Danio rerio: one gene and its partners. The main gene of each other region encodes a partner of the protein of the gene in region 2 in a complex. Links are inferred from orthologs where the notes say so. Each region holds a gene or a part of one and is shown on either strand. Other genes may lie near its edges. The genes, in order: timm21, coa1, ecsit, cmc1, smim20 and ndufaf1.

What was found.
Region 1: coa1 (region 2) and timm21 share a complex: the UniProt entries of both Homo sapiens proteins name them as parts of the MITRAC (mitochondrial translation regulation assembly intermediate of cytochrome c oxidase complex) complex. The link is inferred for Danio rerio from reciprocal best matches to the Homo sapiens genes COA1 and TIMM21.
Region 3: coa1 (region 2) and ecsit share a complex: the UniProt entries of both Homo sapiens proteins name them as parts of the mitochondrial complex. The link is inferred for Danio rerio from reciprocal best matches to the Homo sapiens genes COA1 and ECSIT.
Region 4: coa1 (region 2) and cmc1 share a complex: the UniProt entries of both Homo sapiens proteins name them as parts of the MITRAC (mitochondrial translation regulation assembly intermediate of cytochrome c oxidase complex) complex. The link is inferred for Danio rerio from reciprocal best matches to the Homo sapiens genes COA1 and CMC1.
Region 5: coa1 (region 2) and smim20 share a complex: the UniProt entries of both Homo sapiens proteins name them as parts of the MITRAC (mitochondrial translation regulation assembly intermediate of cytochrome c oxidase complex) complex. The link is inferred for Danio rerio from reciprocal best matches to the Homo sapiens genes COA1 and SMIM20.
Region 6: coa1 (region 2) and ndufaf1 share a complex: the UniProt entries of both Homo sapiens proteins name them as parts of the mitochondrial complex. The link is inferred for Danio rerio from reciprocal best matches to the Homo sapiens genes COA1 and NDUFAF1.

Annotation. Positions count from the first base shown.
Region 1 is NC_133199.1:17,615,565-17,618,046, reverse strand, and holds part of timm21 (mitochondrial import inner membrane translocase subunit Tim21), read right to left. Parts: intron 2,441-2,482; coding exon 2,378-2,440; intron 996-2,377; coding exon 898-995; intron 1-897. UniProt on the Homo sapiens protein: Participates in the translocation of transit peptide-containing proteins across the mitochondrial inner membrane.
Region 2 is NC_133177.1:53,227,630-53,231,776, forward strand, and holds the start of coa1 (cytochrome c oxidase assembly factor 1 homolog), read left to right. Parts: upstream 1-1,347; 5' UTR 1,348-1,421; intron 1,422-4,147. UniProt on the Homo sapiens protein: Component of the MITRAC (mitochondrial translation regulation assembly intermediate of cytochrome c oxidase complex) complex, that regulates cytochrome c oxidase assembly.
Region 3 is NC_133182.1:17,780,470-17,783,969, forward strand, and holds part of ecsit (evolutionarily conserved signaling intermediate in Toll pathway, mitochondrial), read right to left. Parts: intron 998-3,500; coding exon 940-997; intron 612-939; coding exon 463-611; intron 1-462.
Region 4 is NC_133191.1:59,052,759-59,056,258, forward strand, and holds the end of cmc1 (COX assembly mitochondrial protein homolog), read right to left. Parts: intron 3,075-3,500; coding exon 2,984-3,074; intron 1,083-2,983; coding exon 962-1,082; 3' UTR 153-961; downstream 1-152. UniProt on the Homo sapiens protein: Component of the MITRAC (mitochondrial translation regulation assembly intermediate of cytochrome c oxidase complex) complex, that regulates cytochrome c oxidase assembly.
Region 5 is NC_133182.1:65,051,106-65,055,097, reverse strand, and holds the start of smim20 (small integral membrane protein 20), read right to left. Parts: upstream 2,801-3,992; 5' UTR 2,744-2,800; coding exon 2,635-2,743; intron 1-2,634.
Region 6 is NC_133188.1:36,685,625-36,689,795, reverse strand, and holds the start of ndufaf1 (complex I intermediate-associated protein 30, mitochondrial), read right to left. Parts: upstream 2,801-4,171; 5' UTR 2,574-2,800; intron 2,093-2,573; 5' UTR 2,037-2,092; intron 1,966-2,036; exon of another isoform or gene 1,907-1,965; 5' UTR 1,846-1,906; intron 849-1,845; exon of another isoform or gene 846-848; 5' UTR 803-845; coding exon 284-802; intron 1-283. Other genes in the region: RNA polymerase-associated protein RTF1 homolog, read left to right, coding at 2,907-2,990. UniProt on the Homo sapiens protein: As part of the MCIA complex, involved in the assembly of the mitochondrial complex I.

The DNA of each region.
Region 1 (2,482 bases), on a different chromosome or scaffold from region 2:
TTTTTTCTGCAACCCTCCCGAGTCTGGAGACAATCCTGTCTCTGAGGTCTACAAACAATTCCTTTGTCTTCATGCTTGGTTTGTGTTTTGACATGCACTGTCAACCCTGAGACCTTATATAGACAGGTGTATGCCTTTTCAAATTCAAATCATGCCCAATCAACTGAATTTACCACAGGTGAACTCCAATTAAGCTGCTGAAACACCTCATGAATGATCAGTGGAAACAGAATATACCTGAGCTCAATTTAGAGCTTTATGGCAAAGGCTGTCAATACTTATTTTCATGTGATTTTTCAGGTATTTTATTTTTAATACATTTTAAACAATTTCAAAAACTCTTTTTTTCACAGTGTCATTATGGGGTATTGTGTGTAGAATTGAGGAAATAAATAAATTTTATTCACTTCGGAATAAGGCTGTAAAAAAATGTGTGAAAAAGGAAAGCGCTATGAATACTTTCTGGATGCACTGTAATTTATAGGTTTACTTAATATAGACTGTGGAGAGGTAAGCATGATCGAACACCCAATAAAGGGGGAGAGCATGCTCAGAGCCCGGCGGCTAATCAGCAGGCCAATCAGAAATAATAAGCAACACCTGTTTATTCTAGTTTTTGGCCTGCTGATTAGCCGCCAGGCTCTGAGCATGCTCTCCCCCTTTATTGGGTGTTCTATCATGCTTACCTCTCAACATAGACATATTATAATGTTTAAATGAGGTAAAAGATGTACTGTATGCACACTACAGTAGAAAAACTATGAACATATGTTACAGATGAATATGATTAGCTCAATATGATTAGATCACAAGTTGTAGTCAACAGGCTGATTTATTCATGCATTTCAGACATTAGGTTTACACATATGTGATATATATAGCTAATGAATCACTGACCTCTGGATGAGATCTGCACCTCTCGAAAGCTTTTCCATAGATTTTGCTTGGGCTTGAAGAGGAAAAGAGTTCTTGAAAGACCACATACAGCAGGCCACCTAAAGCGATTAGAAAACATTAATCGGTTCACTTATTATACTGCTGAATAATATGTATATACAAATTAAAAAAAATATGCATAGAAATGATTATAACCTGCCTGCCTGCCTGAATTGCTAAAAGGTTCCACAGTTTTGCAAAGTGATGGCTTTATCATGTTATGACTATGGCTAGCTGTATTGACACAATATATATATATATATATATATATATATATATATATATATATATATATATATATATATATATATATATATATATATATATAGTAAAAAGTGCTATATAAATACATATGAATTTAACTGATTTGTATGATTATAATGTCTGTCTCATGTATTGTATTTGAGTCAGTGTTATCGTTAACAAAAAAAAAGACTTTGGAGCTGAAATGAAATATAAATACTTGTTTATTTATATGTTATATGGCGCAGTAGGAAGTGTTGTAGCCTCACAGCTAGAAGGTCGCTGGTTCGAACCTCGGCTCAGTTGGCGTTTCTTTGTGGAGTTTGCATGTTCTCCCTGCCTTTGTGTAGGTTTCCTCCGGGTGCTCTGGTTTCCCCCACAGTCCAAAGACATGCGGTACAGGTGAATTGGGTAGGCTAAATTGTCCGTAGTGTATGAGTGTGTGTGGATGTTTCCCAGAGATGGGTTGCGGCTGGAAGGGCATCCGCTGTGTAAAAACTTGCTGGATAAGTTGGCGGTTCATTCCGCTGTGGCGACCACAGATTAATAAAGGGACTAAGCCGACAAGAAAATTAATGAATGAGTTCAAAGTTGTTAAGATCACTATGTGCGTGGAAAAATATCATACACAAAATTACTAAAATCATTAAAAAAAAAAAAACTACTGAACAATAATAAACTATAATGAAGTAGTTGTTAATTTTAGTAATTTTGTTGCATTTTTATTAAATAGTATTTGGTTATTACATAATATATGTAAACAGATAATTTTGTCTTTAAGCAATACATTGCAAATTTCTTAACATGTTTAAACCATTGCAAGCATTACTAGAACGAATGACCATTTACTACATAGCCACATGTATGTTTTAGCATATTCATAACATATACTGTTATTAGCATGTTTTAATGCAAATGAGTTAGCATTTTGTCAGCATAACAAAAATGGTTAGCATTCCTAGAATGTCTAAACTCATGACCTGCATGTTGCTAAAATTAATTACTATGTTAGCAATAATGAACATTTTGCTGATACAAAATCCAAAGTGAATAAAATATAACTAATATCACTATTTAGACATCATCCTGTTATCATCATTAGGAAATGCATGTTGGTGCTTTCTGTTGGTTTTCTGGCACAGTAAGAACAGAGAATGGGGCCCTGAAACATAAGAGTCGTCAATCCAGACCTGGTTACCTGTTACACCGAGTCCAATGAGCACTACGATCAAATAGGTGAAATCTTTGCCAGCTTGTTTAACTGTTGAGGAAAGGAGACATTTATTTACTGAACAGCTACAAT
Region 2 (4,147 bases):
ATAAATATTTATTTATACATTTAAAAATAATAATAATTTAATTATGCATTTAACAATTTGTTTATATATTTATTGTGTGTGTGTGTGTGTGTGTGTGTGTGTGTGTGTGTGTGTGTGTGTGTGTGTGTGTTTAAATAGATCGATTTTTACACCTGCATCCTGCTGAAAATAGAACATCACAAACTACTCCAAATACGTAAATACAATATAAATACACAAATATTTGTAATGTTTTGTAAATAGCAGCACATTATTTAATTTTAAGTAATTTGCCCTCTGATTGTATATTTATTTATTGATTGATTTATTATTAAAGGCATTCCGTTAAAAACAAAAAACGTGACAAACTTCTCAAAATAAATAAATATATAATGGATAAACAAATACTTTTCAACTATATTAGCTTGTTTTGCAACTAGCAGCACATAGAACAACAGGTTATTAAAATTTTAGTTATTAAATACTGCAATACTGCCAATGCATGACTGTTTCATACATTTTCCTTCGGTTTAGTCCCTTTATTCATCAGGAGTCGCCACAGCGGAATGAACCGCTAACTTATGCAGCATGTTTTACACAGCAGATGGTCTTCTAGCTGCAACCCAGTACTGAGAAACACCCATAGAATCATTCAAACAAATACACTACGGCCAATTTAACTTATTCAATTCAGCAATAACAGTTACACGCATGTGTTTGGACTGTGGGGGAAACCCACGCCAACACGGGGAGAACATGCAAACTCCACACAGAAATATTTGTTTATCCATTATGCAGTCGAACCAGCTACCTTCTTGGTGTGAGGCGACAGTGCAAAGCACTGAGCCACCGTGTTGCCCGTGTATGACTGTTGTCCATGGAAATAAATGACCGTGTTCGTGAAATCACCAAAGACGACACATTGAAGACGCGCATCTGCATCGCGCTCAGCGCTTACTAAAGCACGCGCAAATTACACAACCAATAACGCGCTCACTCTTCAACATGCAAACATGTAATACTGTGCTCACCTGTGAATGTCCCCTCACAGCCTTTGATGTGGTTTTCTTACGCAACGTCAGCGAAATGAGAACGATAATGACATTCATCAACTGTGACTCAGGAAACTACTTTCATAACTCTTTTTTCGTAACCGCGCGTGCGTCTGACGTCACGCGTCGCACGTGTTTCTGTTGTCAAAAATGCAGATCCCAAATAAACATGCGATCTTGCTAAATTAATAGTTGGTAACATTACAGAAGATTGTACTGTATCATTTACAATATGATAAATCGCTTGGGGATTTCGCACGTGTGGTGCTCTTTTTTTCTAAAGATTTGATTCATTGACGTTTGAATAAAGTTTTTCAAAGAGGAAAATGGCCGCGTCCATAATGCGCCGCTCGTAGCGTCTTTATAAAAACAATAATAATCCATGTGCGGGTGAGTAATTTTATCTTAGTCAAAAGCCATTAAAGCATGCATTAATCTGTTGAATTTCAAGGCTCAATTCTGTTGAAATTCAGGGGCATCCATTTAAAATAAAAATAATGTTTAAGACCATCGTATATCTGCTAAACACCTTTCACTAGCAAAAAAAAAATACCACAGTATTACATGAATATTAATACGGTAGTAACCATGGGTTTGTGGCGAATTCATTAAATATATACAGTATATAACCAGCTTTACCAGAAATACCATGGTGAAGCTATGGATATTGAATCAAATGCCAAATGCATTTTCAACGTATGTTTGCATGGTTTAAAATATATAAGTATTTCTGGTAAAGCTGGTTATACTGTATGTGTATATATATATATATATATATATATATATATATATATATATATATATATATATATATATATATATGTGTGTGTAACCAGCTTTACCAGAACTACCATGGTGAAGCTATGGATGCATTTCCAAGTTATGTTTGGAATATTTGTATCGTTTAAATATAACAGCCAGATATTTTATGTATTATAATTACTTATAGGAAGGCAAATTTTTTGTCAGGAACAGTTAAGATGATAGCCGATTTAACAATATTAACACTTTAGTAATAGCTTTTTTTGTATCTATGATCGTCTTTGACGTTATTTATTATTAAACAAATCTGAGCCCTATAGCTATAATGGCCATCGCTAATTTGTGTCAGAGACGTTATTATTACGTCTTTTAAACACATTTCTGAGTCCTATGACTGTAGTTTTCCAAGGTCATTATGGTATATACACACATCCACAAATCTGAATAACTAAGAAATAAACAAATATTATTAAGCGGGTGAAGAAAATAATTTCGAGGATGTTCAGGCTTTACCATCGGCCTGTTGTTGTTTATTTAAAACAGTAACACTAAACAGCAAAATGGAGTCAAATGCAAGAATTTATGCAAGAATCTAATTAGTTTTTTATTTCTGGATATTTATCAGGGTACCCGTAGGGTCTTAAAAAGTCTTAAATCTACTGAAATATTGTGTTGTTTTTTTAAGAGGTCTTAATTTTCCTTTGTTCATGTGTAGCTACCCAATCTGGCCATTAACACCAATACAGTCAACGACAATCCATCTCAATAAAACTTTTAAGCTTTTATTTAAAAATAGCATTTAATTACTTTCCTTACAGTAACATTTGCTTACACGATATTTACTGCTGTGGATACTGACCTGACCTATATATTTTATTTTATTATTATTATTATTATTGTTGACTGAAATAATTGACAGCTATGTTTTTTTCTATTCTTCATAAGGGTTATAGGGTTTGTAAATAGATATATTTGGAAGTTAATAAAGCGAAATTCTAACAAAATATTTTATTATTGTATTATTAAATGTCTTAAATTTTTATATTTTTTGTGAAAATCAAAGTGAAAATCTTTTCTAACTGGAATATTTAAAAAAAAAGTCCTGTATAAGTCTAATATTTAATTAATAATGGAACGTAGTTTAACTTGTGGACATTATTTCTGGACATTTTCGGATGTTTACACTGAAAACTGGTTCAGAAACTGCTTCAGGTTTATTAGTGTTATTCAGACACAAGTGAATTGCATACACTGATAAAAATGTTAAAAGCACGTGCTGTTTCAGCCCATTGTAGATATTTGCTAAAGACCTTTTACTAACCAAAATGTCTTTAAAACTCTTAAATTTAACTTTTCGGACATTATTTCAGGACATTTCTGGATATTTACACTAAAATATATTTAAGAAAAATGCTTCAGTTTTATTTAGTTTTATTCAGACACAAGTGAATGCATACATTCCTAATATTTTAAAGGCATATGCTGTTGAAAAAAGAAAAATCACTTTTTAGATTATTTTTACACTTTAGGGATTAATATACTACACAAACACAGACAGAGAGAACTGAAAAGAATAAGTGACCTCTTGTAAATTCTGATATTCTCTGTATTGATGATTTCTACTTATGTGTTTCAGTAAAACAGGATTAAATCGAGTGATGACATTTATTCCATTTAAAATGAAAACATTGCTATTTAGAGCATTTATTTTGCTTGAAATAACAAAAGGATGCCATGTTTCAGAATTTTTTTGGACAACACAGCATCAATGTTTTTACTTAAAATCAAGAAATCAATATTTGGTGGAACATTCCTGATTTTTATCTTAAGAAGAAATGCTCTAAATGACAATATTTCATTAAAATACTCCCATATAAAATTAGCAGAAAAAAGTCTTATCAGACTTTTATAAAAATGAAACACATATTAACATTTGACTGAAACATAACAAACAAACCCAAAACGTCCAGAGAAACTAAGAATTTCCAAGTGGTCTCTTCATATAGTTTTATATACATTACCTGACAAAAGTCTTGTTGTTGATCTCAGTTGTAAGAGCAGCAAGTAATAACTTGATTTCTAGTTGATCATTTTGAAAAAGTGGCAGAAGGTAGATTTTTCTGATGAATCATCTGTTGATCTGCATCTCAGTGATCACAAATACTGAGAGACCTATTGGAAGACACCAGATTCTCAGAGAAATTAGTCAAGTTTGGTGAAGGAAAAATCATGGTTTGGTGTTAAATTCAGTATGGGGGCATGCGAGAGATCTGCAGAGTGGATGGCAACATCAACAGCCTGAGCTATCAATAAATTTGTGCTGCCTATTACATTACAAACCACAGGAGAGGGCA
Region 3 (3,500 bases), on a different chromosome or scaffold from region 2:
ATTAATTACTAGTCATTCCAAATTATTATTAAGGATTTAAATACAATCATGTTGCGTTGAAAATAGTTTTTACTGCATATAATATTTAAAAACAATCATGCACAATTTATTTGAAAATTGATTTCCTTTGAGACATTATTAATGCAAACACTGTCGATTGATGTTTTTCAATTAATTAGATCTATCTTGGCTGAATGTATATATATATATATATTTTTTTTTTATTATTATTTTTTTATCCAAATTGTTAAACTAAGTTTCCATAATTATATAAGGCAGTAAAAACTCTTTAGTTTTGATAATAATAATAATAAAAAGAAATAGTACTTTTACTTATTTGTAATCAAACAAATGCAGCATTAGGGACCATAAAGGGCTTGTTTCAAAAGAACATCAAATATATGTAAATAATAATATATTAAGCAAATGTATTAAATGCCATCAGTAGCCCGATGCCAGTACCTTTTCCTCAGGAGGTATAGGGTCTGCTCTGAGCAGGTAGTAATGAACACACTTTTGCCTGAGCCACAGTGGATATGGGCCTTCCACAAACACAGGCTTGCAGGGATTGTGTTTGGCCAGAAGAGAGCGCTGGTCTGGACTCTGGATACCTGATAACATGAAAGATGCGATAGGCTCTTTTTCGTGCTTATTTCTCCAAACAATATCCAGAAATTAAAAATTAGTGGCATCTAGTTACAAACATTCTTCAAAGTATATTTTTGAGGTTTTTAACAGAAAAACAAAAAAGTATTCATAATAACTTTAGGGCAAGCAAATTATGTTCATTTGAGCTTTTGTTTTGTTGGATTTAAATAATTATAACTTGTATTAAAAAGACCCAAAGCATTTTGTTGATAAACAAATGAGATCTTTCATATTTTCAGTGGTAGTTAAAAGACATGGAAAACATTTAATGGTTAGACCTACAGTACATACCAACAATATGAGGACGTGTGATCTCTTCTCCTGTCTCTGTGATGTCTGTTGACGGATACTGCAAAGAGTAAAAGATAATAAATCACATTTATCAGACTGAAAGCCTTTATTATTTCCTAACATTGTGAAATACACACTACCAATAAAAGAATGAGACCGATGAGATACTTTTTAGCAGGAGGCACTTTAAATACAAAATACACTACAGTGATTTATAATGTTACTTAAATAGAAATAAACACTGTTTTCAATTGGATAATAAGAATTGTTTCTTAAGAACTAAATCTGGGTATAACAATGATTTCTGAAGGATCTGGAATAATGGCTGCTGAATATTCAGCATTGCATCTGGGTTTCTGCAGGTTTCTTTACGATTTTAAAGACTATTATGAAAGAAATTTTAGACGTATACAGGGCTAAACACTTAGGATTTTTTCTATTGGCCTGGTTACGTCTGTAAATCCGCTTGTTAAGTGGTGACGTGTTTGTGACGTATGTATACTGTTTCAGGGTCCAAGCCGCCATTCATTTGAGTGGAGAAATCATTAGTTTTATTGCCATCACACATTAAAGTTAAGTTTATATAAAATCAGTGTACACAACAATCTCTGGGCTTGCTCCTTAACAAATACCAAAATGTTAACAATTTATAAACAATGAATCACTTTCTGGCCATCGGATTTTAGACATGGACATATATTGCGATCGTGATTTTCGAAAGCATTAAATCGCTTTGTAAATGTTTATTATTACCATTTCATGAGTCTCCCCATTCAGTTGAATAGAGCGCTTGGACCCGGAAGCCGCTTCACGTGACGTCACACTTAACAAGCGGATAATTTTTGTGTTAATGGAAGATCATGTAATGGATGTGTTGCTTTAGTTTTCTAAATTAGATTAGCAAATTTATTTTGGAGAATTTTCTGTAAAACATGTCTTAACAGCTGTTTTGAATTGCTTTTCTTTGCAATAAAAAAACTTAAATATAAAAAAAAAAGTTGTCATGTGTCGGCCCGATATGTAACCCCACACGGAATCTGCGCGCACGGAATTCTGCAGATTTTTAGCCCATCATTCATTCTGTTTATTTACTTGTGTAAATGTTTGTAAATTTAGATTTATTCAGTTTTAAAATTAATTTTGTTGACTAATATGAAAATATTTATACGATTTATTTACAATACACTTTGCAAATGAATATTTTCAGTCTTTTAGTCGATATATGAGAGTCTTGCTTTGTTTACTAAATAAGTAGATCAAGATGGATTTGCATTGTAAACATTAAATTCAAGTTTAAAAGGTATCACTTTTTATTGCATATTTTAAGCTTTTAGTGATGATACTCCCAAAATCATTCCGCATAAATCCGCAGATTTGTACAAAAATTTTGGGCAGAAATAGCAAAAAATGTCCGCAGGTTCCATCTGGCCCAACCGGTAAGTTAGAACAGGTACATTAAGACCTGTTTAAAATGATTTAAGACCTACAACACAATATTTCAGTGAATTTACAATTTTTTAATGCAAAAAATGTGCTTTTGAAATTTAAGACTTAAAATTACATTTTAAAATATATTTAAATATAATTCTTTAAATCAGAATAAAATAGAAAATTTATTTAAAATTGAAATAATATTTCCAGGGTTTCCACACTTCATGAAAGTACTTTCCTTTCAGACATATCGATTTAAGGCCTAGAAAGTACTTAAAAACAACATAGATGCTACTTCAAGACATTATAATGTTGGAGTTATCCACGGCGCGAGTGAACTTGGTACAAATGGGTACATTACAGATCTGGACTTTGGCTGCTGACAAAATCTCCTTGTTTATTGCACAAAGAAATGATCAGGATCCAGAATGATTGCCTTGCTTTGTATAATTGATATTTGATACTGTATTCTGTTTTTGTTTTTATGTTAACTTCTATTCATTGTAAAGCCCAGTTTCAAGAGACCGCAGGGGAGGGGGGTGTTTTTTTTTTAATTGATATGTTTCATTATATAGGTTTTTCAGCCTGTATGTTTTGTTAACAATTAATAATAAAAAAATATATAAATAAAAATAATAATAAAAACAACATAGATGCTGGAAATTGCTTGAATTGGATTTGAAATTAAATTTGTTTATGGTGTTATTTCAACAAGTGTAATGTGCTGATGTCAAAAAAAAAAAAAAAATATTTAATTAAATGTAACTCTTATACAATAATAACGACAAATAATGCACATTTTATCAATATTTTAGAAACTGCATTTAAACATGTTATTAAAATCTTTAAAAACGACCATTTAAAACAGTCAAAATGTGAGAAAGTTACTCTGTGATTTGTATATTTGTAATGTAAATATTTAGTGTAAGTGAAATGATAAGTACAATAAGGACTTTCATGGTGCTACATACGCTGTGGTAAGAATTACAAAGGTGCTTGATTTAAAATGAATGGTGCTCAGGCAAAAAAAAAATCTTGAATGTGGTGTTCATGGAAAAAGCGGGAACCCTGTATATAACTACACTGTACTATTAAATAAATGCAGCACTGCTGAGCTTAAATAAACATAC
Region 4 (3,500 bases), on a different chromosome or scaffold from region 2:
TATATTTATATAAAATTTGCATATATATATATATATATATATATATATATATATATATATATATATATACCAATCAATGATACATCAACAAGAAATCAATGTATTTATTCATGAAGCAAAAATTTAATGACTCAGAAATGACAGTAAATAAATTTGATTCGAATGAATGCAGCAGTTTATTCTTCATCATGAAACATTAATAATCACAAATATTCTGATGATGAAAATCCAGCTTCATGTCACATCTATACATTAAAGGCACAGACGGACTTCATTAACAGTTTTATCTCATATTTTAATCTTTTAATTGGAGTTTTCAGATTTAGGTTTTATTTTAATGAAATAATTAATATTCTTTTGTTTTGGTCATTTTTTGGCAGAATAAACTCTGTACAGTTGAAGGCAAAATTTATTAATGAAATGCTGATTTTTTTCCCCAAGTATTTTCCAAATCATTAAACAATAACTTTACCCTGATTACCCTGGTGAACCTTTAAATGTCACTCAGCCGAACACTAGTGTCTTGAAGAATATCTAGTTGTGCTGTCATCATGACAGAGTAAATAAATCAGTTATTAGAGATGAGTTAGTAAAACTATTATGATTAGAAATGTGCAAGACAACAATAATAGCTGTCTTCAACTGTACACATATAAATAAACAACAGATCAACATTAAACATGTTTTATTATAATCAGAGCGATCAGCGCTCAACATCTGAATGGAGTAAATCTGCACGTTTAACACATGTAAACCTGCAGAAAACAGCAGATCTGTGTGTGTGTGTGTGTGTGTGTGTGTGTGTGTGTTTCAGACCCGCTGTGTGTTTGATTCCCTGGAGACACACACACACACAAACACACACATGTGCATTGAATGCATTGAGTGATGATCAGCGAGGGATGATTAATCATGAATATAAAGGGAGTGTGTGTGTGCGTGCGTGCGTGAGTGTGTGTGTCTACATGCTGGTGGGAAGCTTCTGTTTTCTGCTTTTGGTCGGGACGCCGGTCTGTTCATACTGCAGCTTCTCCTTCAGATATTCCTGTTTACACTCCTCGAAGAACACCGGATCCCGATAACTGCAGCCGAACACACAAAACAATAAAAAAGAAGAAGAAAAAATGTCAAAATATTGTTAATAAAGTCAAATTTAGAGGAAAAAAATTCATTTTTGGAGAAAAAAAATCCTGTTGTGTTTTGAGAAAGTGTGTTACACTTTAAGATGCTGAGAATAAACTTCTTACATTCTGAGACAAAAACAAATTGATTAAAAAACCTGTTTAGTGTAAAACTTTTATCATCTGAACATGAGTTTATTCTCAATATTTTATTTCCTTCTCTACTCTAAATTTAACGAGATCTTCAAGAAACAAAACTGTTTTGAGAAATAAATCATTTAAGAATAAAATGTAGGAAATAATGTAAAATTCAGAAAAAAACTGCTGGATTTTGAGAAAAAAAAATCTAAATAAATGTTGAGAATAAAATCTTCACATTCTGAGAAAGAAAACGTTATTTTCTGAAGTGTTTAGAGTAAATCTAGTTTCCTCTAAGTTTGATGAGTTTATTCTCAATATTTGATTTCAAACTTTTCCTCCAAATTTAAAGTGTTCTTCAATAACGTGTCATTTAGAGATTAAGGTTGTTGTGTGTTTTTTAAGAAATAAATCATTTAAGAAAAATGTCAAAATCAAATGAAGAAAGTCAAACTCAGAAAAAATAAAAATAATAATCAAACGCTCAAATAAAATCATTACAATCTGAGCAAAAAAGATTAATATTAGTGTTCTTTAAATTGAAGGTGTTCTTTAAGAAAACAAAGTGTTGGATTTTGAGGGTAAAGCTGTTTTTGTTTTGAGATATAAATCCTTAAAGAAAAATGTAAAAATCAACTGTTGGGAATAAAATCAAACTCTAAGAAAAATGAATCCTGTTGCCTTTTGAAAAATAAACAGTTGAGGAAAAACTCAAATTCAGAGAGTAAAACTTGTTTTCTACATTTATTCTCAACACTTTTTTCTCTCTAAATTGAAGGTGTTCTTCAAGAAACTGTTGAATTTTGAAAATAAAGTTGTTTTGTTTTGAGAAATAAATCCTTTTAAAAATGCCAAAATCAAATGTTGAGAATAAACCAATTCAGAGGAAAAACAAAAAAAAGTGTCTGGAGTCAAACTTTTTTCTCAGAATTTTTATCTTCAAAATATATATATATTTCAGCAGTTTGTTCTGTAAATTAAATGTTCTTCAAGAAAACAAAGTGTTGTATTTTGAGAATAAAGCTGTTGATTTGTCTAGAAATAAATCCAAATATCAAAGTAAAATGTTGAGAATAAAATCCAACTCAAACACAAAAAAGAATCCTGTTGCATTTTGAAAAATAAAATGTTGAGGAAAAACTCAATTAATTGTGAGAATATATATATATAAAAGTAGAAACGTGTTTAGAGTAAAACTTGCGGAGTTTATTCTCTACATTTGATTTTAACATTCCCTTGCTCAGAAATAAAAAAATGTGTTTAGGGAAAACCTTGTTAGATTTTGTTTGAAATATTGAAATTAAATGTTGGGGATGTGATGCTCAGAAAAAAAACGTGTTAAATTTAGGAAAAATAAAATTCACATTTTGTTTCAAACTGAAAGAACGAATCAGCTCAAAACAGCGCAAAAACAACCAATTTTCACATTTAGTGTGATACGCGTGTCCTAATAGTGTTTATAGCTGTGTGGGACACATATACGACTGTCAACAGCTCAACACGTCTGTTCACGACCCTTTAAACTAAACAAAGTCAATATTGCTGGAGAAAATGTTCAAAATTAAAGCACAAATTTGTACAATTTAAAAAATATATTGACAAAGAATGAAATGATTAAATTCAGTCAAAACCACATGCTGAGAATAAACACACACACACACACACACACACACATCTGAGGGAAAATGATAATGAGTGTGTGAATGTAGAAGAGAGAAACTCACTGCTGCGTCAAACACTCTTTCAGCGCCGCGTTCTCCTCACGACACTTGAAGACCATGAAGAAACCCGAGTCCTTACAGCAGACGTTGAACGCTGGACACACACACACACACACACACACACACACACACAATTAATTAATGCTGTTTCTCTTTTGAACACAGGAACTCATTCAGTGTGTGTGTGTGTGTGTGTGTGTGTGTGTGTGTTCATTAAGCATTAATTACACTCCTCAAAGCTCCTGCAGAAACTGACCGTCATCACCTGATATACCAGAGCGCTCCCTCACTGAAGCGGAGCAGGGCTGAGTCTGGTCAGTGTCTGGATGGGAGAGCACATGGGAACACCAGGCTGCTGTTCGCAGTATTGTTAGTGAGGCCAGCAGGGGGCGCTCAACCCGTGTTCTGTGTGAGTCCTAATGCCCCAGTGTAGTGAAGGGGACTCTATACTGCTGTTAAACCGAGCTCCTGACTCTCTGTGCTCAGTAATAACCCCATGGCACTGCTGATACAGAGTAGG
Region 5 (3,992 bases), on a different chromosome or scaffold from region 2:
GTTTCTGTTCATAAAAACTTTAAGTTTAATGCCTATTTATAAATATTATGTCTACTCCCCCTTACTTCTGTAAAGAGTTTTTGTATGAATGGAAGATAATGTTAAGGGATATATTCATTCATTTTCTTTCGGCTCAGTCTTTTTATTATCTGGGATCTCCACAGCGAAATCAACCACCAACTTATCCAGCACCTGTTTCACGCAGTGGATGACCTTCCAGCTGCAACCCATCCCTGGGAAAGGAAAGGGATATATTACTCTGTTATTATCATGAGGAACTGTGTAATGGTTTTTAGTTCTCTTTCCTTGATTTTATTAAGATGGATTGTTGGTGATTGGATGGATGTTTGCCCGATTGTGTAGCTTTAATTGGACAGAGGAAAATTAAGATCAGTTTAAAATGATTTAAGACCTACAACACAATATTCCAGTGAATATGACTTTTTAAGGCCTTCAATTTTGTTTTAGAAATTTAAGACTTTTTAAGACTCCGCAGATACACTGAAAAACTGCACTGTAAAAAAATGCAAAATGCTGGAATCCACGCAATTCCCAACACAAATCAATTAAGTTAACTTAACACATAATAAAAATCCCCTACACTCAGAGTTTCAGCTCCTTCCATCTAGTCGTTGGTTTCTTGTAACAAGCTGTAGAAGTAAACGATACTTGTATATCAGAATCAGAAAAAGCTTTACTGCCAGGTGTGTTCACACGTGCTTTCCTGACAGAGCTTTCTACAGTGCAACAGAATTACAAAGACAGGACAAAAAAACAGATAAAAAAATGTATTTTAAAAATAGAAGTAGAAAGTGAATGCAAATATACAAATTGACAAGTGTGTGTACATGTGTATTATTATATACGTTATATGTGCAGCTGTTATGTGTAAATTGGCATGTAAAGTATGTTGCTAAATAAGTGTATATGTGGATTAAAAGTGTATAGCTATAGCAAGTAGTGATGTTTTTTCTTTTCATAATTATGAGATGGATTGCCTGAGGGAAGAATCTGTTATTGTGTTGGGCTGTTCTGGTGCACAGTGCTCGGTAGCGTCGACCAGAAGGTAAAAATTCAAAGAGGCAGTGTGCTGGGTGTGAGGGGTCCAGAGTGATTTTGGCTCTTGAAATAATTATTTATTTATTCTTTTTTTTTTTTTTTTTAAAGAGTGTACGTTTTGTACGTTTATGTTTTATGTCTATTTGTTGTTGTCACTATGTGAGTTTTTTAGTGTGGCACTGCTATGAAATGAGGACTCTTGACTGCAAACCAAATCTACCTTTGGGTATAAGTAACCTAACCTAATATACATACAACATGTCTCATTCAAGAGAGCTCTGCATTGTATGTAATTCAACGTAGAATAAAATCAGCATCATAATATGTGTACATTCCTTAAAACACTGAAATATTATTTCTATAATTTACATCAGATTATAACGACTGTTCAACCTGATTATCCCAATAATACGTTTTTTAAATGTATTTTTAAAGTTCTTTTTTATCATACAAGAAAGAACAATACAAAGATACAGTATGAACAAAGAAACAAAAAGGGTTACATGACTAAAATTCCAGCAAAATAAACAAGTTTAAAAGAGTTTTACATGTAATATAATAGTCCTTTCTGAAAATAAAAAGTAAGGATGTTTTTTTTTTTATTTACATTTATGAATGTAAAATTTAGCCAAAAAAAGCAATAAATTAATAATAAATTTACAAAGAGAAGGATCTACATTCAGAAAGTAACCAAAGAAAAACATTTTGGGGAAATACAGAAATTTGGAAATAAGATTTTTTTTAATGAAATCGAAAAAGTCAACCCAAAACACTTGACAGGAAGTGCACTCCCAAAATAAATTATTTAGTGTTTCATTATATTGAGTACAAAATGCATAAAGGGAAAATATTGTTATTATATTTAGCTAGTTTTGGTATTTATTGGATGGCAATTATGAATTATTTTGATTGAGACTTTAACAGCTTTATTAGATGAAAATAAATTTATAAGATAAGATTCTGACAGTATGATAACCTTGAATAAAATATGACAGTTTCACGGTTCTACGGTAATACTGTATATGGTATTGTGATTACTGATCTAAAATGTATTTTTTTTTAAATATCTGGGTAAAAATAAAACATTTTCCCCCACTTTAAACACAATATATTTTATTTGGAGAAACAGTTAAAATTGTTTAGAACAGTTAACATGTGAGGCTAAATAATTCAAATGAATCATTGACTTATGTGGTCTTCAATTGATTTAAAAACACTAACTTTTTAACCATTTAAAATGACATCGTTGGATATCGTTTCTGCTGGAGATACTGTTGTCATAAAAAAGAAATGTAAATAAAAAATCGTACACATACCTTAGAAACGGTAAGTTATATAAGAAAATGTTGACAATTTTAAAATCTTAACTTTTGCAAACCGCGCTATACCTTGAAAACCGTTAACAGTTATTTTCCCATGCCTAACGTTAATCCCAATCTATGTCACCAAATATATTATTCCAATACGATTAATAAGTTACAAAATGCAGGGTAATCGAATGTGACGTTATGACATAAGTTAAGTTTAGGCTGTGTCACGGTGACTTCATGTGTAGTAGTGATATTAAACACTTACTGTAGTCTTCAGAGTGTGTGAGAGGATGAAAAAATATAGGATAAAAAGCTGCAGCAACAGCTGCAACGAAGCCTCCAAATATGAGCGTTATCCTCTTAGAACTGGACATGATTTTGACAGTTTCACCTCACTCGAGGACGCAAACACACTCAAGTTGTTCCGGGGTGAAGTTCACGTTAGAAATAAAAAGTTTAAAGTCTGTTCTTAACTAAAATATATTATGCATACTTCAAGCGCAAAATTAGGGTTATTATAATGTTAATGAATATTTACAGAAGTATGATATTGTACTCATAAAAATAGAAGTATTTCATATGATCATGTCAGTGTTATAATTGATAGTGCGGCTTTTATTTTGCCCGGTGTTGTCCCGTCATGCATTGTGTATGTGTGTAGTGTTGCTGTGTCAGTGTGTGTAGTGATCGCCGTCTCTCAGCTGTAAAAATGTCCGGCAGTAACTCATACAGACTGCGCTCTTCTCTCCCGGCGCACGACATGGATGTCCGGGGTCTTGCCGCTGTCGCCTTCCCGGACGGAGCGTTCGTGTCGGTGTCCAGAGACCGGACCGCGCGGGTGTGGGTACCAAACCCAAGGTACTCCAGCTCCAGCTTCCTCCTGTTGTGTCTCACACCGGCTTTACATTTGTTTTTGTCGTATACTAAGCCGTTTGGTTCGTAGTTTACAGAGTTGTTTAGCTGTACCGTACGTTGGTATATTAAGCACACTATCATTCACTTTCATCTGAGACGAAACTAAAAGGCTATCATTTCCTGACAGTGACGGATCTAAAACACTCCACTAATGAGCGTTAAAGCAATAGTAACGGTATATCCAAAATTAAAATGAAATGATTTACTCGCATTCTTCTTGTTGTTATCAAACTGTATGTTCCCTTCTATCCGTGGAACTGTTTTGACATCGTTACCATTTACTTCTTTTAACAAACAATGAAACTGAATGAACACTGAGAGTCATTCTGCCTTTTGTGCTCCACAGAAGAGTCAAGCACTGTTAACACATTTTGTGTGAAAACTATGTTTTTATAATTCTCTAACGTCATAAATTGAGTTCCGTTCTTTTTATGTGAAGCTTTATTACTTATTTATTGGTATCCATCACTGCCAGACTGTGCCAGTGCATTAGAGCTGAGCGTTGCTGTTTACTTAGAGAATGTAGGTTACATTTAGAAACACAAAGGCATAAATAACTGCGTTAAAATGAAGATAACGTTTAAACCAACATTAATTTAGAATCAATGGTTTAAAAAGGTGTATGTAGCAAATTAAAATCCAAATTAAGAAAATATTTGGTGATTTTATTCGGCAAAAGTGCATTATATTGGTTCAAATGAACAATGT
Region 6 (4,171 bases), on a different chromosome or scaffold from region 2:
GTCATCTTTAAGGTGCACGTGCTCCTGTTTCAGGAGGCGTGGCTCTGGACGGCAGGGGAGGGACTGTGATTCAGAGATTTATGCTAAGCTGTTAGCATTGTGAAAGATCACCTACTGCACTTTTAAAAGAATCTGGCAATGTATTATGTCCCATTTCTTTAAATACCTGCTGTACAAATGCATTGATTGAATAACGTTTGCAGAATGTAAAAAATCTTAAGTAAATGCATTAAATGTTGGTAAAAATAATAAAGAGACACAGATGTGGGATCTCAGCACTGACCTTTGGGGGTTTGGAGCGCATAGAGCAGTATCCACTGTATCGAGTCTCTCCATCACGTGGAGGGGTGGAGCTCAAGGTCCCATACAGCAAACACGTGGTGTTGTTTTTGCCCAGACTGACATAAGCCACACTGCGGCCCCCAATCTCCTGATCAGATGACACAATCCACTCATTTAGACTCTCAGGACCCCGAAACTCCCACACGACACGGGTCTGTTCCAGCATGTGCTCTATTATTGGCTTTCCTTCCGGTCCAATCCAGCGCTGGAAAAACTCATCCTTTAACAAGCCAAAGTGCTTCCTGACACTCTCCACACCTTTGGAGAAATCAAAGTTTATCATCTGCCAAGGCCAGCGTGTGTCTGGAGGCTGACCGGGTCTCTGGTAATCTCGCTCAAACTTGCTCCTGGTGATCTGTATAGATGCACATTTGAGTGAGGAAGGGAACAACAGAGGCTGTCTGTAAACCACTCCACAAACTCCATACAGGGACTTGAGTGTTGTTCTCGATACAGCCATTTAGTCTGGGTAGCTCTTGGGATCAGATTAGACATCCAGAAGACTGCTGAAAAAATTAAAAACATTTATAACAAACAGTAAAATCGTATATGCATCATTTAGAGCCATTATTTTCATTTATTTATTTTCATTCCAGCTTAGTTTCTTTATTTGTCAGGGGTTGTCACAGTGGAATGAACCGCCAACTTATACAGCATATGTTTTACACAGCGCAACCCAGTACTGAAAAACATCCATACACACTCACTCAGACGCACACACAACAGACAATTTACCTTATTCAATTCACCTATAGCACATGTCTTTGGACTATGGGGGAAACCAGAGTACCCAAAGGAAACCCACACCAACACGTGGAGCACATGCAAACTCCACACAGAAATGCCAACTGACCCAGTCAGGACTTGAACCAGTGACCTTGCTGTGAGGCGACAAGCCACCGAGTCACCCATACTTTATTTTATAAATGTAATACTTCCTGTTCTGATTTAAAGGAATAGTTCACACAAATTTTAAATTTACGACCCTTTTACTCAATGGTTACTTTATGGGTTTCTTTCTTCTACACAAGAAAAGATACTTTGAAGAATGGTAAAAATCTGTAACCACTTACCAAATTCCATGTAACAATGATTGCAGGTTTAAGAATTCTTCAGAATATACTTTGTGTGTGTAACAGAAGAATGAAACTAATTAAAGGTTGAAACAAGTAAAGGGTAAGTAAATGAGAACAATATTTTAATTTTGAGGTGACCTACCCCTTTGAAGGTTTTAAACTGTAGAAAAAATTATTGAGTCAATTATCACTGAACAGGAACTAGGGCTGCACAATATATAGTTTCAGCATCGATATCGCAATGTGCACATCTGCAATAGTCATTGCAAAGACATGCAATGTTAAGTCTGGATTATAGTTGACCAAAAGCGTTAGAATTGTATTCATTAATGTTTTAATACAAAATTAATGTACATTCGTTTAAGTTTTTTGTCATTCTAGTCTAAACATCTACATTTCAAAGTGAAAACAGGATTATTTAACTTACCCCACTAGCATAAGTTTTTGCTTGTTTTAAGGAGAAAACTCTCAACTTCGCCTCATTTCATCTGAATTTTAAAACACAGCAATAGTTTTCCCTGATTAAGATTTTTTTTAGATATTTGGACTAGAAAAGAGATAAAGCAAAGTAAGAAAAAACATTTTTTTTTTTGCATTGTGATTATTAAATTAATGTACCTGAAAATGGTGCTGATCTCTTGAATTCGAGTTTTTTCAAGGAGGTGCAAGAGGGTCTATGGAAAGGTTTAGAGAAAAACAGTGGACATAATATATAAATGCGTAATTACTATTATGATTTAGATTAAGTGAATAATCATGGATTCAGATGAGAATATAATAAAATGTACATTTAAATAACTGCTATCGTAGAAGCTCACCAAATGGAAATTATTTACAAATACAATTACACAACAGTATATACCTATTAAGGCAATTTAAGTTTGTATAAATCTGCCAGTTTTTATACATGAAGATGTAATTTTCAGGGAATTCCTCTTGCATGTGGATTATCATATTTGGCTTCCATAGCAACAAGGTTATAAATTAATCTAGAGAGGGTCAGCGGTACAATAACACGTGTTAAAATCCCCACACTTCATGATTTGAAGATTAAGTTTAATTGTTACAGCAAAGCTAACGTACAAACACTGACGGTGACCACATTTATCAACAACATATCAATAAATAAATTAAAAATATTTAAGCAATACTTACACAAAAGTCAAATGCGCCTTCGCGGCCCGTCATTTAATTTGCCCTTACTTGAAACAAGGACATCCGCTTATGGTCCTACCGACAACGAACATTCCTCGCAGTTCACCCCCTACCAACCCCACATTTAGTGGTTAACAAATGTTATCATAATTGTGGTTAATGTACTTTACATTATATTTGACATTATCAGAAACAGCACGTAAGTGGTACTGTAAACTTGTCGATGTATTTGTGGTGGCGTGTGCGCATGCGCGGTGTAGCTCTAGCGCCTTTGTGTGGAGGAGTGCGGCGCTGCTGTTTAAACACACACACAGGGGAGCCAGGCAGCTAACCATGGTGAATGTAAAGAAACGGAAAGGTCGGGTCGTGATTGACTCCGACTCGGAGGATAGTGCGAGCGATGATAATTTGGATCAGGTAGGAACCTCATTGACGCGAATGTGATCCAAAAACATCGCTGTTTGCCGATTTCTAGGGCACAAATGTGTCAGGACTGTATGTGTGTGTTGGAGTCCCATGCTAAGTGATGTGGGAAAGCTAGCTGGTTAGCAGGGGCCTGTATGGTGGCGTCGTGCTGCTATTGAGGCAGTTACACCTGAATTCGGGATGCTTGGAGTGCTTTTTATTGTGGCCTGCAGTGCGCGCGCATTTCGGCTTTAGTAAAGAAAGCAGTCGCGTGCGTTTAGAACCTTTACTGTTTTATGACGTCACAGCGCCGCGGCTAAACTTCTATTTCGGTTGCAGAAATAAGACGAAACACTAGAGCGGACAGACGCTCATCAAACACTTCCCAGAAACATGCTCTCTGATTGGGTAGAAAGTCACATGATTCATTGATATAAGAGCATGGAGAAATATTCATGTAATAAAGTTGACTGTTTTGTCCATAAATAACAAACCCACCGTGATATATGATAAAACTGCTAATGACCATTAAAAAGCTCTTTTAGACAATTAATAAGATAAATAATTAGTTAGGGTAGTTATTAGAAGAATGGGTATCACTTTATTTAGTACTTCATGGTCCATTTAACTCATTGGTTGAATTTAAGTTACATTGCATCCACATGCCAACTAATTCTCATTAGATTATAAGTAGACTGTAAGATTGGGGTAAGGGTTAGTGTAAGGTAACATGTACTTGCAAAGTTTCTTATAGTCAGTTCAATGTTGAAAGAGCAATATCAACAGATATTAAGCAGACAGACTACTAATACTCTAATGAGAATTAATTGGCATGTAGTTGCAATGCAACTTTTAGCCAACAAAATGTGAAATAGGGACCATCAAATAAAATCTTACCGAAGAAAGTCATAACAATGTATTGTATAAGGCAAATTAATAATGATATCTCTACAAGTATTCAATTTGATTAAAGTTTGGCTGTGTAAACATTTAACGTGTTTGTTAACTCACGGGATGGTAACACATGCAATCACATGTGCTTACAGACATATTTTGCCAAAACAAGCAAAATAACAGAAGAATATTGCAGTGTGACAGACGAGTTCAGGATTCATACGGTCATGCAAAACCTGGAAAAGTCATGGAATTTTGACATGACATTTTCCAGGCCTGGAAAAATTTTGGAAAAACAG